Linked DNA regions of Mytilus edulis. The protein of the gene in region 2 purifies or fractionates together with the protein of the main gene of each other region. This does not show direct contact. Links are inferred from orthologs where the notes say so. Each region holds a gene or a part of one and is shown on either strand. Other genes may lie near its edges.

The links.
Region 1: the proteins of RCC1-like G exchanging factor-like protein (region 2) and pseudouridylate synthase TRUB2, mitochondrial-like purify together in Homo sapiens (affinity purification with mass spectrometry; 3 studies listed by BioGRID and IntAct, with this or other methods). This does not show direct contact. The link is inferred for Mytilus edulis from reciprocal best matches to the Homo sapiens genes RCC1L and TRUB2.

What each region holds. Positions count from the first base shown.
Region 1 is NC_092345.1:79,634,114-79,641,885, forward strand, and holds the start of pseudouridylate synthase TRUB2, mitochondrial-like, read right to left. Parts: upstream 3,192-7,772; 5' UTR 1,076-3,191; coding exon 955-1,075; intron 1-954. UniProt on the Homo sapiens protein: Minor enzyme contributing to the isomerization of uridine to pseudouridine (pseudouridylation) of specific mitochondrial mRNAs (mt-mRNAs) such as COXI and COXIII mt-mRNAs.
Region 2 is NC_092355.1:44,610,347-44,617,647, forward strand, and holds the start of RCC1-like G exchanging factor-like protein, read right to left. Parts: upstream 3,088-7,301; 5' UTR 2,946-3,087; intron 1-2,945. UniProt on the Homo sapiens protein: Guanine nucleotide exchange factor (GEF) for mitochondrial dynamin-related GTPase OPA1. Activates OPA1, by exchanging bound GDP for free GTP, and drives OPA1 and MFN1-dependent mitochondrial fusion. Plays an essential role in mitochondrial ribosome biogenesis.

The DNA.
Region 1 (7,772 bases), on a different chromosome or scaffold from region 2:
ATATTCAAGATACTGTAATAACCCAAAACAGCAAAATTTCCTTAAAATTACCAATTCAGGGGCAGCAACCCAACAACGGATTGTCAGATTCGTCTGCAAATTTCAGGGCAGATAAATCTTGACCTGATAAACAATTTTAACCCTTGTCAGATTTGCTCTAAAGGCTGCGGTTTCAGAGTTATAAGCCAAAATCTACATTTCACCCCTATGTTCTATTTTTAGCCATGACGGCCATCTTGGTTGGTTGGTGGGGTCACCGGACACAATTTTTATAAACTAGATACCCCAATGATAATTGTGGCCAAGTTTGGTTTAATTTGGCCCAGTAGTTTCAGAGGAGAAGATTTTTGTAAAAGATGACTAAGATTTACGAAAAATGGTTAAAAATTGACTATAAAGGGCAATAACTCCTAAAGGGATCAACAGACCATTTTGATCTTGTTGACTTATTTGTAGATCCCACTTTGCTGAACATTTTTGCCGTTTACAGTTTATCTCTATCTATAATAATATTCAAGATAATAACAAAAAACAGCAAAATTTCCTTTAAATTTCCAATTCAGGGGCAGTAACCTATCAACGGGTTGTCTGATTCATCTGAAAATTTTAGAACAGATAGATCTTGACCTGATTAACAATTTTACTCGATGTCAGATTTGCTCTAAATGCTTTGGTTTTTGAGTTATAAGCCAAAAACTGCATTTTACCCCTATGTTCTATTTTTAGCCATGGTGGCCATCTTGGTTGGTTGGCTGGGTCACCGGACACAATTTTTAAACTAGATACCCTAATAATGATTTTGGCCATGTTTGGTTAAATTTTGCCCAGCAGTTTCAAAGGAGAAGATTTTTGTAAAAGTTTACGACGACGGACGCAGGAAGACGGACGACGACGGACGCCAAGTGATGAGAAAAGGGCCAGGTGAGCTAAAAACACTTCATCTCTACTCATTACCTCTAGCTAAATTGGCTTGTATTTTCTGTCTAAGAACTTTCTCTGACATTCCTTCTGGTTTGTATACACAAAACACTCCATTCAACAATCTTGCTGCCTGTGGAGCCCATTTGAATCGCATTGTTTATTATTTTTCTACAAACAAAAGATTGACAATGATTGACATGTTAATATAATGTCATAATTGTTCTCTTTAATTTTTGTAGTAGCTTATAATTCATTGTAATTAAGCTGTACTTTAAATTCAGAAATTTTTGCATGCATTTATTATTGTGATTTTGTCATTTAAAGACTAAAATGCAATTTTAATTTTTGTGATATTGAAAAATCATCCTGTTTAATTCACATAAAACATTTCAAAATGCAAGATTATATTATTGAGATGATAACCCTGTCTCATTTTTCGCATTAATAAAAACATCACAACAATTTCTGAATTTACAGTACATGTACGGTCCAATAATTTACAGAAAAGAGCGACCATTTACAGAAAAGAACTGAAAAGAACCGAAAAGGACCAAAAAGAACTGAAAAGGACTGAAAAGAACCGAAAAGAGGATACATGTACATACACATATGTATAATGTTTAAACAATGTGAATATGTTACAGTGAATTTGTATAATTAGGGATTATGTAGAATCACTGACTAATTGTTAAGATAGCTGTCAATTGGAAGCCTCAGTCTTTAGTTGACTTCGTGATAAAGATGAGATTTGGTAGAGGCGAATTATAAAGATTGACGAAGAGCAGTGATAGGGAGAGAACCTTATACGCTTGCGAGCACACACGAACATTTCAAAGTTAAGATTGCCAGGCATGTTTGGGCAAACAAAACTTTAATGGAAAGGTACAAATATTTTGCCAGGTTCCGTCGATACAGTATTAAGACCAAATTGGTTAAGTCAACAGATGGCAGACGAGTGGTCAATGAAGCTAGGTCGAGAGGAAAGAAGGATTGAGGGTCAGAGGAAACGTGACAACTGCGGTAAAATGGCAACGCGTGCAGTTAATAAATTTTAAAAAACAAAACTGTGTGTAATTCAATGTATTTATATGTGACAGTAACAGTGTATATATATTTCTCAGCACGAACTACTTATGTTTCTTGTTTTTCTTTTTATAGGTAAAATACACTAATGAACCTGGAACACATGCATCAATGTCAAGGCCTAGATTAATATATTGTTTGTTTCCCAAATCCCAACTCTACCGAGCCAGGTGTGGGCAAGTACATGTAGGTAGGGAAATAATTTTATTTTTCCAAAAAGTTTAACATTATCGGACGATCAAGCAAGCCTGAAAATCAGAAATGAATAAAATAATATTTGACTTAGATTTGACAATAAAATTTTATGAGTAGCACCAATTTTGCAGGGTCGGTCGGGATTGGGGAAACAAACAATATTTTATTTTAGGCCCAACACGAACATGACGAATATTAATTGAATTATAGTGTATTGCTATCATTTTGTTGCATGTTTCATGTAGTATTTGTTTTATTACTTATGTTACATATCTATTGTCTGTGTTATCATGGTTATGCATACATGTATGTTATTGTTTATGATATTATTGTTTGTATGCTATATGCCCTCCTAGTGGCTCTTACTTGGTGAATAAAAACTTTTCCTTTTTATTTTTCTAATCTATAAGATACATGTAGGTATCATACCCATCCTGTAATTTTTCATATGTAAGTTAAAATTAGTCCTGTCACAGTATAAGATTTTAAATGATTTGCAATTTGCTAATTTCCTTCTTTAAATCCTTGCTCTTTTCTGTAAGTCGTCAAACCCTACATGTATCAACTAGAGAATATTTACAATAGCAGAACCTACATCTGTATTGTATGCATTATGACATGTATGATATGCCTTCACTATATATGTCGTATAGAACTGGTAACTCAGGCCAGAAGAATATATATACGTATATAAGTCCATAATCACAGAACAAAATTCCTACACATTGTTGTTACTTTCAAATATATTTATACTGTAAACCAACTTATTTTCACGGATATTTTATTTAGCGTTTAGGTCATTCTATCTATTTTTGCGTGCGATTTGAAAACTTACTTAGTTGCATGGGAACTATATAATTTATACATAATATTCACGACTTATACTCGCAACTGTCTCATCCTACACCTACAGTCATTAAATTCATCATGTGTAAATAGTTTTATCTTAATATTAAAAAAAATGATAAATTAAAAATATGCACTGCCATTATTAGTCCGAGATTACTCTGACGTCCGACGGCTGTTTTGCCAGACAAGCTGGGGCCGTGGGACGTCAGAGCTCGTCCCATATCAAAAAGTGGATATTTGCCCACCCAAAATAGATGCGCGACTTCGACGCTTCTAGTGCCGACTGGCTGCCTTGGAATTATATAAATCGGACATCAATCTGTTCGTTTTTCATTTATCTTTCCAAATATGTAACTTTCACCTACCTGCCAATCTTTATTTTTCCATATTTAAACAGTTTTCGCAGAGACATGTCCATTTGGGCATTTCGACTTTCATTTTCAAATGGACGTCAAGTTACGAGGGAGTTCGTGGTCTCGAGACTTCAGTATGCAAATTTTTATGCTAATTTCGACCTTGACCCTACATAGCCAAACATGATCACAGTCGGAACATACTCGGACATTTAGTTCATTTGCATCGTAAATAACCGAGGTGTTCTCATAAACAACAATGGATCGATACATAGAAGATGTGATGAGAGAACTCGGGAATTTGCAGTTGAAAGAGGAGCAGAAAACAGTCATTAATAGTGTTCTCAAGAAGCAGGACACGTTAGCAGTCTTGCCTACAGGATACGGGAAAAGCATGTGTTACATAGTCCCGCCGCTTGTTCTGAACAAAGTGAGTAAATTAAAAAAAAAAATATATAAAATGTTACGACATCAAAAGATCGATGTAGGTAGTATAAAAAAAATGAAATCAAATAGTTTTGGTGGGGGTCAACATTGATACAAGTTTTGTTAATCTAAAATTGATTTTACAGGTCAATCAATTTTTCCCAAATTAAGTTTTAAAGGGGGCGGGGGGTCGAAAATATGTGAATTAAGTTATTTATCCTTCATTACACTTTTGATGTCGCCCCTCAGTATCAATAACAATCAATAACATACAGCTCTATCATATATGTTGTAGCCCCCCTTTTTTCTCCTTCTGAAACCTTTTTTTTTTGGTGTTTTAATCAATTGCTCGACAGCTGTATAAAAATATGGAATTAAAAAATATGATAAAGAAAAAACAATAGAAATTTTGAAGGCGTTTTTGTTTTCTTTTTTTAGGATGACCCTTCTAAGAAGCACACAAGTCTGGTCATTTCACCATTAAAGGCTTTAATGAAGGACCAAATTAAAAGCTTAAGAGAACAGAATATTCCAGCATATGGATTGTTGGAAGGTGCAGAGAAAGAGGATTTAGCAGGTACATGTATTTTAATATATGATAAATAAAGTATCATGTTCATAGAATTAGGTTGGAAATGGGTAATGTCACACTGAAATAAATAGTCAACAAATCCAGGAAAGCAAACTAGAAGACCCATACATTGTACAGTGCCATACATTGGAGTTTACCCTTTCTTTCAAAATTCTAAACAGAGATTGTTTGTTTGTTTAGGCTGGCTTTGGGTAAATCTAAATTGCTCTGAAGTCCAACAGGTATTTTGACAGACACTAAGCTAAGGGGTATTACAACCAGTTAGGTTCCTTTTTTCAGTGCCTCTTATGATATAAAATTGAGAATGGAAATGGGGAATGTGTCAAAGAGACAACAACCCGACCAAATTAAAAAACAACAGCAGAATGTCACCAACAGGTCTTCAATGTAGCAAGAAATTCCTGCACCCTGAGGTGTCCTTCAGGTGGCCCCTAAACAAATATATACTAGTTCCATCATAATGAACGCCATACTAATTTCCAAATTGTACACAAGAAACTAAAATTAAAATAATACAAGACTAACAAAGGCCAGAGGCTCCCATATCAAAAGATAAATAATCAACAAGATTTCAATTATCATTCTTGATTTTATGTTAATTTTAATCTTTCTTTTTTTTAGGTATTAAAGATGGACTTGCCAGAATATTGTTTGCATCACCAGAAGCAATACTGGTGAAGTTCTGGCGTGATGTCATCACCGAGGCCTATAAGGATAGGATATGTGTAGTTGCGTATGATGAGGCGCACTGTATCTCTGAATGGTAAGAGCTAATTGTAAACTTCAAGGGGGTGGATGTTTTTTTCTCAGCAATACTGTTTCTTTGTAAAACATGATAAATTTTATTTATCTTTTGTACGCATCATGAAAACTTATTTCTTTTTTGTTTTCGATTTAATGATAGGTTCAAATTGTCATCTCATTTCACTTTCTTTTTCAAAACTCATGATCGTCCAGAACATTAATGATATATTTGCCACTGGACTGTAAGCAAGCAACAATTAATCAATTAGCAATTATGATAAAAAATGGTATTAATTTAGTTTAAAGAAATAAATCATGGGAATAGCTTATTGTCATATGACGAGCCACAATAATCAAAGGGGAATTAATGGTTTCATTTCTTTTTTGTTTATAGGGGATTAGACTTCAGACCAGAATATGGCAAAGTTGGTCTCCTTCAAAGTATCATTGAAGCTCCAGTACTGGTGTTATCTGCTACCATTACAAATGACATTAGAAAAGATATTGACAGAGCTTTAGGTCTACAACAACACTCAACAACAGTAGTTGCAACATTACCAGATAGGTAAATATACATGTATGATAAGCATTTTCAATTAAAAAAAGAAGATGTGGTATGATTTTCTTTGACACAGCTTTCCACAAAAGACCAAATGACACAGAAAATTAAAAAGAACCTAGATAATCACTGTTTGCATAAATATCTTGTAAAAGATAAACAAATCGGTTGTTTAATAAGTCAGACTGTCATGTGTGAATATAAAAAAGAAGATGTGGTATGATTTTCTTTGACACAGCTTTCCACAAAAGACCAAATGACACAGAAAATTACAACCATAGGGCACTCTATCTACAGCCTTTAAAAATCACCAAATACCATACTGTGTTGTAAAACAGGTAAACTTTTCATCATTTTCCTTAAAGGAGTAGGTCCAGGAGCCCTTTTTGGCCCCAAAATATAGCAGTTTTACAAAATGTAAACTTTTAGTTATTTATTGAACAGTAGAATGCTTCTGCTATGTATAAATATGGGTTATTTTTCACTATACAATAAACATAAATCGGGTAATAGCACCTTAAAGTCATGCTAAATTACAGAAATCTTCACAATTCTAGCATTTCAGTTAATTTTTAGACAGGTTTCATGTTAAAAAGTGGTCAAAATCTTGTCAGATGAACCTGAAATTTGAGGCCAAAATTGGTCCTTACTGGACCTACTATGATGCCAAAACCAAAGTTGCATATATGTTTTAAAAATTAATCTGTATTTCAGATCGAACATATTTTTATGCACGGACAAGTCATCCGAACATCATGAAGAAGAACTTAAATGGATTTTGGAAGGTATAAAACATAAGAAAGACAAGTTCGAAAAGACCATCATATATGTGAACTCTATTGCTATGTGTGAAACCTTATATATATGGATTCACTCAGAGTTAAAGTCTGCAGCCTATAATGGGGAATCTGTCATTCAGAACCGCATGGTTGAAATGTACCATGCTCACACAGATGAGGAATCTAAACAAAGAATTATGGACCAATTTATATCGATAGACAGTACTATACGTGTTTTGGTTGCAACAGTTGCCTGTGGAATGGGTGTTAATATACCCAACATTAAATTAGTAGTTTTGTGGGGGTTGCCATCAACACTTCTTTTACTGTGGCAGGAAACTGGCAGATGTGTCCGTGATGGCAGCTTCGGACTTATGTTATGCTATGCGTTCAAGAGGAGTGTGTCAAAACCATGTGATACATGCAGAACTAACAGGAAATTTCAATGTACATGTAGCAGCCGGGAGTATCTGAGATCTCTTGTTGAAACTGAACAATGCCAGCGTTCATACATTTTAAGACACTTTTTATTGGATGGAATGTGCAGACAGTTACTCCCCTGTAATGATTTCAACTGCGCTGAAAACTGCCATTCCTGCAGTTGTGTTAAGTGCAAGTGTTGTATTGTATGCCGCAGAAAATGTGAATGCTCCAAAAACATGACAAAGGAGGAAATTATTCGTACATTCCTAGAGGATTAGTCTGTTGCTACTTGAATGTATCAGAATTTCGAAAGAACTTCTTAAATTATGACTGCTAGTAGTTTTTCCATCATACATGTACTTAATTCGTCTTAACATGAATATTTCCATTCTTGTTTCACAATTCTTCCAATGTTTAATCTCCTGATGAGGAAAATAAACATATCATTTTGATCTTTCCTGATTTTCTTGGTTTTAATCTTACTTGCCCATTTTTCAACCAATGCACATTTAACATCCACGTAAAAAAAGAAGATGTGGTATGATTGCCAATGAGACAGCTCTCCACATAGCTCACCTGTTACAATGGCTCAAACTGAATTTAAGTAATCAGAGATGTATATAAGTCTTCAATTCAAATATAAAAAAGAAGATGTGGTATGATTGCCAATGAGACAATGACAATTTTCAGCCGAGGACATTTTAGAGCGTTATCAGACACTCACTTTGGGATTTGTTGACTATGGGGTATTGGTTTTGATCATTGTTGAAGGTCATATGGTTGTTATGGTCTTTTTCCATTATTCTACTGAGAAGAGTTGTCTCATTAGCGATAGCAATCATACCACA
Region 2 (7,301 bases):
ACTAAAAAAATTCATTACAACCAAAAAGATTGCACTCCGATAAAGCAGTCAACCAACCTTTTATCAAAGGTCATATGTGCGTTTATAAATTTATACACTGTTTCTCCAGGTGGTCGTGTAAGTGTTCGTACATTGGTCCGTCGACTTTATAGAGGCAAACGAAGAGCACGTCGTGGTGTATAGAGACCTGTACCTTCAAGCAGGCACTCTACCGTCAGGTTTAAATGGGATAATGAACATCTATGCTTGAACATAAGAACCTGACAAAACACTCATTGGTCAGATGGGAGTCAGTTTCCTTTACTGCCAGAAGACGCCATAATACGAATTTCGCAGGAGAAAAAAACGGCCTATGACCAAAAACAATATTTGCACAAGGACTGCATGCATTGCTGGTTGTGTTCCAGTACGGGGTTGCTTCTTATACCGTTATAAGCTGGGTATGCATATTCTGCAGGGTAACATAAACGGACAGACATACAGAGATTTGGTGCCTTAACATATTGTAGTCCGTCATTTTAGTAATCCCCCACTTGCGTCAACATTGTCAAGACACTTGTACCTGAATGACAACGCTATACCACGCAGGGCAAGAATTTTAACCGAGTCCAAAGAGCAACCAGTCATTTACACTAATTTTTGGCCTTCCTTGACTCCATGCATGAACCCTATCAAACATGTCTGAGATGCCATTGTCGGAAATCTCAATCGCAGAGATTCACCTTCACAAAAGTTTGTCGATTTAAAAGTGGCATTTGTTGTTTAATGCAACAGATTTCCTCAACTAAAGTTTTGAAGGCTTGTACCGAGAAAGATAGGTCGTGTTATGAAACTGTACCGGAAATGAGGTTGTTACACATGCTATTGACTCAAATATTGACATTAAATTTGCCAAACATACCAAAGATTATGTGTAGAAAATTTTAATGGTATTGGGTGATTAATTGTTGTAAAAAAATAAAATCACAGTGAAACTTAAATTCCATTTCTTAATTGTGTAATTTACACTATTTCTATGAACGAAAAACCTATATGCATAGAACCTTCATAAGTGACCAAAATTATATTTGTGGTTTGTTTATGGTATACATTAGCAAAATTGCTATATGATTGTTTTCTATTTTTCGAGGAACAATTGATTTTTTAAATTTGAAAAAAAATCGATGCAATAAAAGTAGGTGGTGCTTAACTTTTGGCGGACTGTATATATATATAATATACATTTTGTATATAAGTAAGTGAATAGTTTTTTCTCAGTTAGAAAATATTCTTAAAATGGAAGAGAGTGATATTATAACTGTGGGGAAGACATTTCAGACTTATCATGAACTAGAAAAATTTGTACAGAACTACATTTATCAGGCATTAAATTTCATAGAATTGACAGGCAGCACAAAAATTAAAGAAGATATAAAGTACAACAGAATAAACAACTAAAAATTAAGATCACCGTAAGAAGGAAAACATACGACTGGATATGTATAAAGTGAGAAAAAAAACTACACAATCAGGACTCTTTGGCCTGAGATTGCTGTTTAGACTGGCAACATTTGAAATGTGCAGGGTTGAAATCTGTGCCAAAACTGAGACTACTATGTGTTATAGTAGTCTCAGGCCAAAACAATCATATTTTTGCTTCTTTAATTTGTATAAACTCAAGCTTTAATTTTAGTTTTATATATTTTAAAATTTCAGTTTCTGTTTTACATTTTACTTAAAGATTATTTTAAAATATCCTATGGGCATTTCTTTAAAATGTTTAAATTATTAAAATTTTATTTGTTAAATTTTCATTTAAATTTTAAACTGAATAGTATTCAGGTATTAATTTCTATCATGTTTTTCTTTTACAGGGACTACATTTTCCATCATTGTGAATTTAATTTTGCACTGTTTATTATGTATCATTATTTAATAAATACAATTTGAAAATATTATTTTTCATACTCTTCACTCTTTCTACACGAAATTCCCATATTATCGATAACTTCCGTATATATTTCACGTTTCATTCCCAATCCTATGGCATTTTAGTAGAAAATCGTATGCAGGTACGCGCAGCCTAAATGGCAATTTGATTATTCGTACCCGCATGCGGGTACGCGCAGACAATGCCTATAAACAATATGTACAACGTTGTACAATGAAAGGACTGTGTGTGAATAATGTCAATATTGTGCATGTACGAATTAAAGAGATGTGTGAACCCATACAACTGTTGTCAGTTTTAAGTTCTATATTTAAGCTACATTTTAACTCAAAAACACAAAATAAAATACTTAAGTCTAAGAATATGCCAGACAGCAAACAATGACATCCACTAATTAAAAGGCTCTTGACTTAGGACGAGCTCATTAAGACTATTACAGGATGAAAATGTATGTTACCAGTCTTCACGACAAACTTTTAAATCTACACTACTACAGGCCCGGAGCTCAATTTTTGAAAATTTTTAGTTAGATTCTGTTTGCCTGAAGATATGATTTTTACTAGTCCAAATAATTATGACGTCTGGCAAGGCTATTTTATTATTTTTCTGGGACGCCTTGTAGGAAGGCGTCCCAGAAAAAAATTAAAATAGCCTTGCCAGACGTCATAATTATTTGGACTAGATTTTTACAGGCCCGAGAGCAATTTTACTAGCCTGGGCTGCCTGGGCTGCCACTCAGCATGAAGGCTGTGTTACTCATAGAACAGCATAGTCCAAATAATTATGACGTCTTGAAAGGCTATTATATTTTTTTTCTTTGACGCCTTACTTCGACGTCATAATGCTTAGGCGTCAAAGAAAAAAATTATAATAGCCTTTCAAGATGTCATAATTATTTGGACTAAGAACAGCACAACTACAGTACAAGAACACACGGTAAAAATAACATTCAGTTGAAAAAAGGCTGAACTTATCAGATTTAAATGTACTGACGATGAATTATAAAATTATTTACTTAAACTTTCCTCTCCTAGTTAATTTTTAAGTCAGGCATTTGATGACACTTAGTCAAAGATGGTGTTATTTTAAGTTTGAGATAAAATCCAATAAAAATATTGTGTTTTCATGGGCGCAGCCATTTTCACATTCTAAATTGTGTTCGTTGACTGTTAAGGATATCCGGATTTGGAAAAATGAGTTATTTCCCTTTGTACACTTGTCGTTGGAATAATTTCTCACCAGTTTCTCACCAGTTCTTACTCCCCTTAAATGAAATTAATTTGAATAATAATATATGAAAAATTAGCACAAATCATTACGTAACTTGATTATATGATAACAGCTGGGACATAATATATTGATTTACAGTGGCCTATAGTTGTTAATTTATGTGACATTTTGGTCTCTTGTGGAGTGTTGTCTCATTGGCAATCATACCACATCTTCTTGTTTATATTTATTAAAAAGTTATTGTAGCCGCAGTTCTAGTTAGATTGACTTAGATCTTATTACGTGATCTATAGATAAATAGTCTCAGAGTAAACTTATTATATATTGAGAATGTAAATGGGGTATATTTCATATAAACAACAATCCGACCAAAGAGCACTGAGACAACAGCCGAAGTCTCATGCCAAAGCAGCGAGAAATGTTCAGTGGAGATAAACAATTCCGTCCAGTACAGAACTCATTTTAAGTTTTAATAAATCTGACTTCAAACCTTTAACAATATTCGTTAATGCAGTGTTTTCTTTTTTGTTTCTTCATAATTTATAATTTATAGTGTCAAGCTATCCAGCAATTCTCATGTACACCTTAGTCTTTGAGTTCAGACTAACTGGACGAAGATGCACATTCTAATAATTAAATTTAAAAAAAAGTTTAGTTCAAAATGAAATGAAACAAAACGAAAACGAAAATCATTTATCTAGTTTCTGTCAGAATCTATTTTTTACAGTTTTGATAGATTTTATTTTCAGGTTCACAGAATATTTGTACATGCATATACATATGCCCATTTTCTCAAATGTTTGGGGATGTTATAAACGAAATAAACCCTTTAAAAAATAATGACATACATCGTCAAAGTCTGTTTCTTAAATTTAAGTTTACAGGGTTTTTTTCACAAGCAAACAAAACTTGCTTACTAGAAAACGCACAACATTTGATCTCCAGACTCGTTAATTGCAATATGCAATATGTATATAACTAGAGCATTGTTATTATGAACTCTTCAGACATCGATCGGTCCTTAGACTCTACGTCAATGGTAATTGACATGATAGTTGGTCATGTAAGGAGATAAACAAATAAACAGTTTGTAAAACTTGCTCTGATAAAAAATGAAACATAAAAGATAATTTGATAGGTAATCATTTCACCTGGTGTTGTACATATCATTGACATAATGTATATAATATTTATAGATAGATAATTCACGTTTACGTGATGTCAAACTTGATTCTGAATAAACAATTTATAGATATAATTCACGGACGGTGGCATAAACTTGGAAGATTTTAATTTTTACCAAAAATAAAGTTCAAATTTTATTTAACAAACACCATAAACAGAATAATACAAAACTTGAGGTAAAATGCGGAAAGAAATAATATTCCTAGAAACACGCGAGAAAAAGATAAAAGGGAGCCGGAATGAGTAGCAGCATGTCCATACGACGACCGACCCTTATATATGTCATTGCTGGAGTCACCATCTTAATAACGACTAATCATAAACACCTTTTGCATATTGTCGAAAAGTCCAGTGTTGACTTCTGTTTGATATAGGTTTTGCCTGAATAGTCAATTAAAGCCAGTACTAACACCATGGATGTGTATTTGGGTGTTTGATATAATTTGAGATCGTTCTTAGAGCTGTTTATGCAATTTGCTGGTTCTTTTTCGAAGATGTATGTTCTAGTGGAAGCATTTGTATTTATTGTCAAAAGGTTCTTATTATTATGTTCACATTTATAACAATTAAGGACTAGCGGGACGGCTGCAGTGCAGGCGATTTGGTGTCACGATATCACAGTAGCATGGGTTCGAATCCCGGCGAGGGAAGAACCAAAAGTTTGCGAAAGCAAATTTACAGATCTAACATTGTTGGGTTGATGTTTAGACGAGTTGTATATCAAAGTTATTATATACATTCTTACTTTTAACAGTACCGCTTTACTCTTTTTATTGTATTTCTATTTTAAACATTATTCTTAAACTCATGAATATAATTCAAATCAAATCAAATTTGTATTGCCATATAAACTTAAAATATTAAGTTTAAATAATAATAGTTTATCGGTTTTCTAGCCGCGGAGAATTTAGACATACATAATGCCTTTATAGCTTGCTGTTCGGTGTGAGCCTAGGCACCGTGTTGAATACCGTACCTTGACCTATTATAATGGTTTACTTTCATAATTGTGACTTGGATGGAGAGTTGTTTCATTGGCACTCATATCACATCTTATTATATCTATAATGTAAAAATCTCGTTTGATCAATGGTCTGATGAATACGGGTCTCAATTAAATTGAAAAAAAAAACTAATATGCATAAAAGGATAGGTTGAATTCACACAAGCACTGTGTATAAGTTAATGAAATGGCAACTCAACAACAGAGAATAACCAAATTACAAAGTGAGCATTAACTTAAGAGCAATATTGTCAGAGAACATCAAAGAAATGCCATCATTACCTTAATTAATTCTCCAAAATAATTCAAAATAGTATATAACAAATGACAAGGCTCCTGACTTAAGTCAGGCTTATTACCCCCCTTTGTTATTGAATTCGTTTCAAAAAGGCATACAACCGAGTGGTAATGTAGGATTTAATAATGTCCTCCATGAAAAAATGTCCACCGGACACATTTTGACAATATTTACTTATTTAAATGTGTCCTGGACACAATTTCCTATGAAAACATGTCCTCAGGTATGAAAAAGTGTCCATGAACATGCACATTATTCACTACCATAATATTGTCCAGGTGGACATTTTTTTCACAGGACATTGTGTCCGTAAGGGCATTTGTTAATATTATTAAAGTATTAAAGGATATCCATTGCCTTGTTATTACTGGACGCATTTTAACTTTAATTACGAACTTGAATTAATTGTTACTTGGACATAAAAATTGTCTCGTTTTGCACTCATACCATCCTTATCTACATATCTATATTTTATAATATACTTATATATGTTAGATCCTGTTCCATTTTATTTTCCTTTGAGGACACAATTTAATAACATTCACTACGAAAATTTGTTCTGCAGATGGACCATATTTCATAACTGTTGCTGTAAAATGCTGTCCACTTAGGAGACAATATTTCATGGCAATAGACATTATTTATTTTCTATTGCCTTCTTCTTTGACATAAATTGACATAATAAATATAATAAAGTTCTTCATATTTGATGTACACTTCCTTCTTATTGTTATTCTTTCATTGTCATAACCATTTGCTGGGAATTTCTTAGAACTTAAATTTCTCTATATTCACTTCCATCCATTATTTATTTGTTTACATTTGTATATTGATCAATTTCTCATAAATCCTTCATATTCTAATTAAAATTCAAGTATAATAAAACTTTGTAATGTCCTTTGTATTACTTCCCTTGGAGGACACAATTTAATAGCAACTACTATGAAAATTTGTCCTTTGAGTGGACACTATTTCATATTGTTATCAGTAAAAATCTGTCCTTTTGAGGGACACCATTCCATGGCAATGGACATTATTAAATACAAAATTTCAATGAAAAAGTGTCCATGTGGACACTTTTTCATAGGACACTATTATGTCTTACAGTAACAGTATGATAAAAACAAACACAAACTTAAAAGTAAAATAAGACACAAATGATTCAAAACACTGAAAGTCTTATGACAGTATATGGACCGTATCCCCAAAAAGTAAATGGACCGAAGCAGGAAAGAATTGTTTTTACTATCAACGTGTTAATACAAAACAGTATACTTTAATTTTAAACATAAGTACAAAGTATACTTTTTTAAGTCTTGTTATCATCAATGTATTATCTAAACATGACAAGACACTTCAAAATGAGGAAATACATATGTTCTTTTCTGGACTACCTTGTGATTAGAAATATTTGTTATTATTTTTGAAATATTTTCATTCAAGCAATTCTATTTTATAAAGAATTCTTTTTAAAGCGTTTTGTGTAAAATACAGTCATGAATAAACATGCAGTTAAAATAAAAGCATGACTTGATGTCCCAGTTCTAAATACAATATGGATCCAGATGTGGATTTAGATGCCCGTCCCCTTTATAGAGCTTCATTTATAGTTAAGCTAGACTTTGTACTGTTCCACTTCACATTTTGTCAAGTTG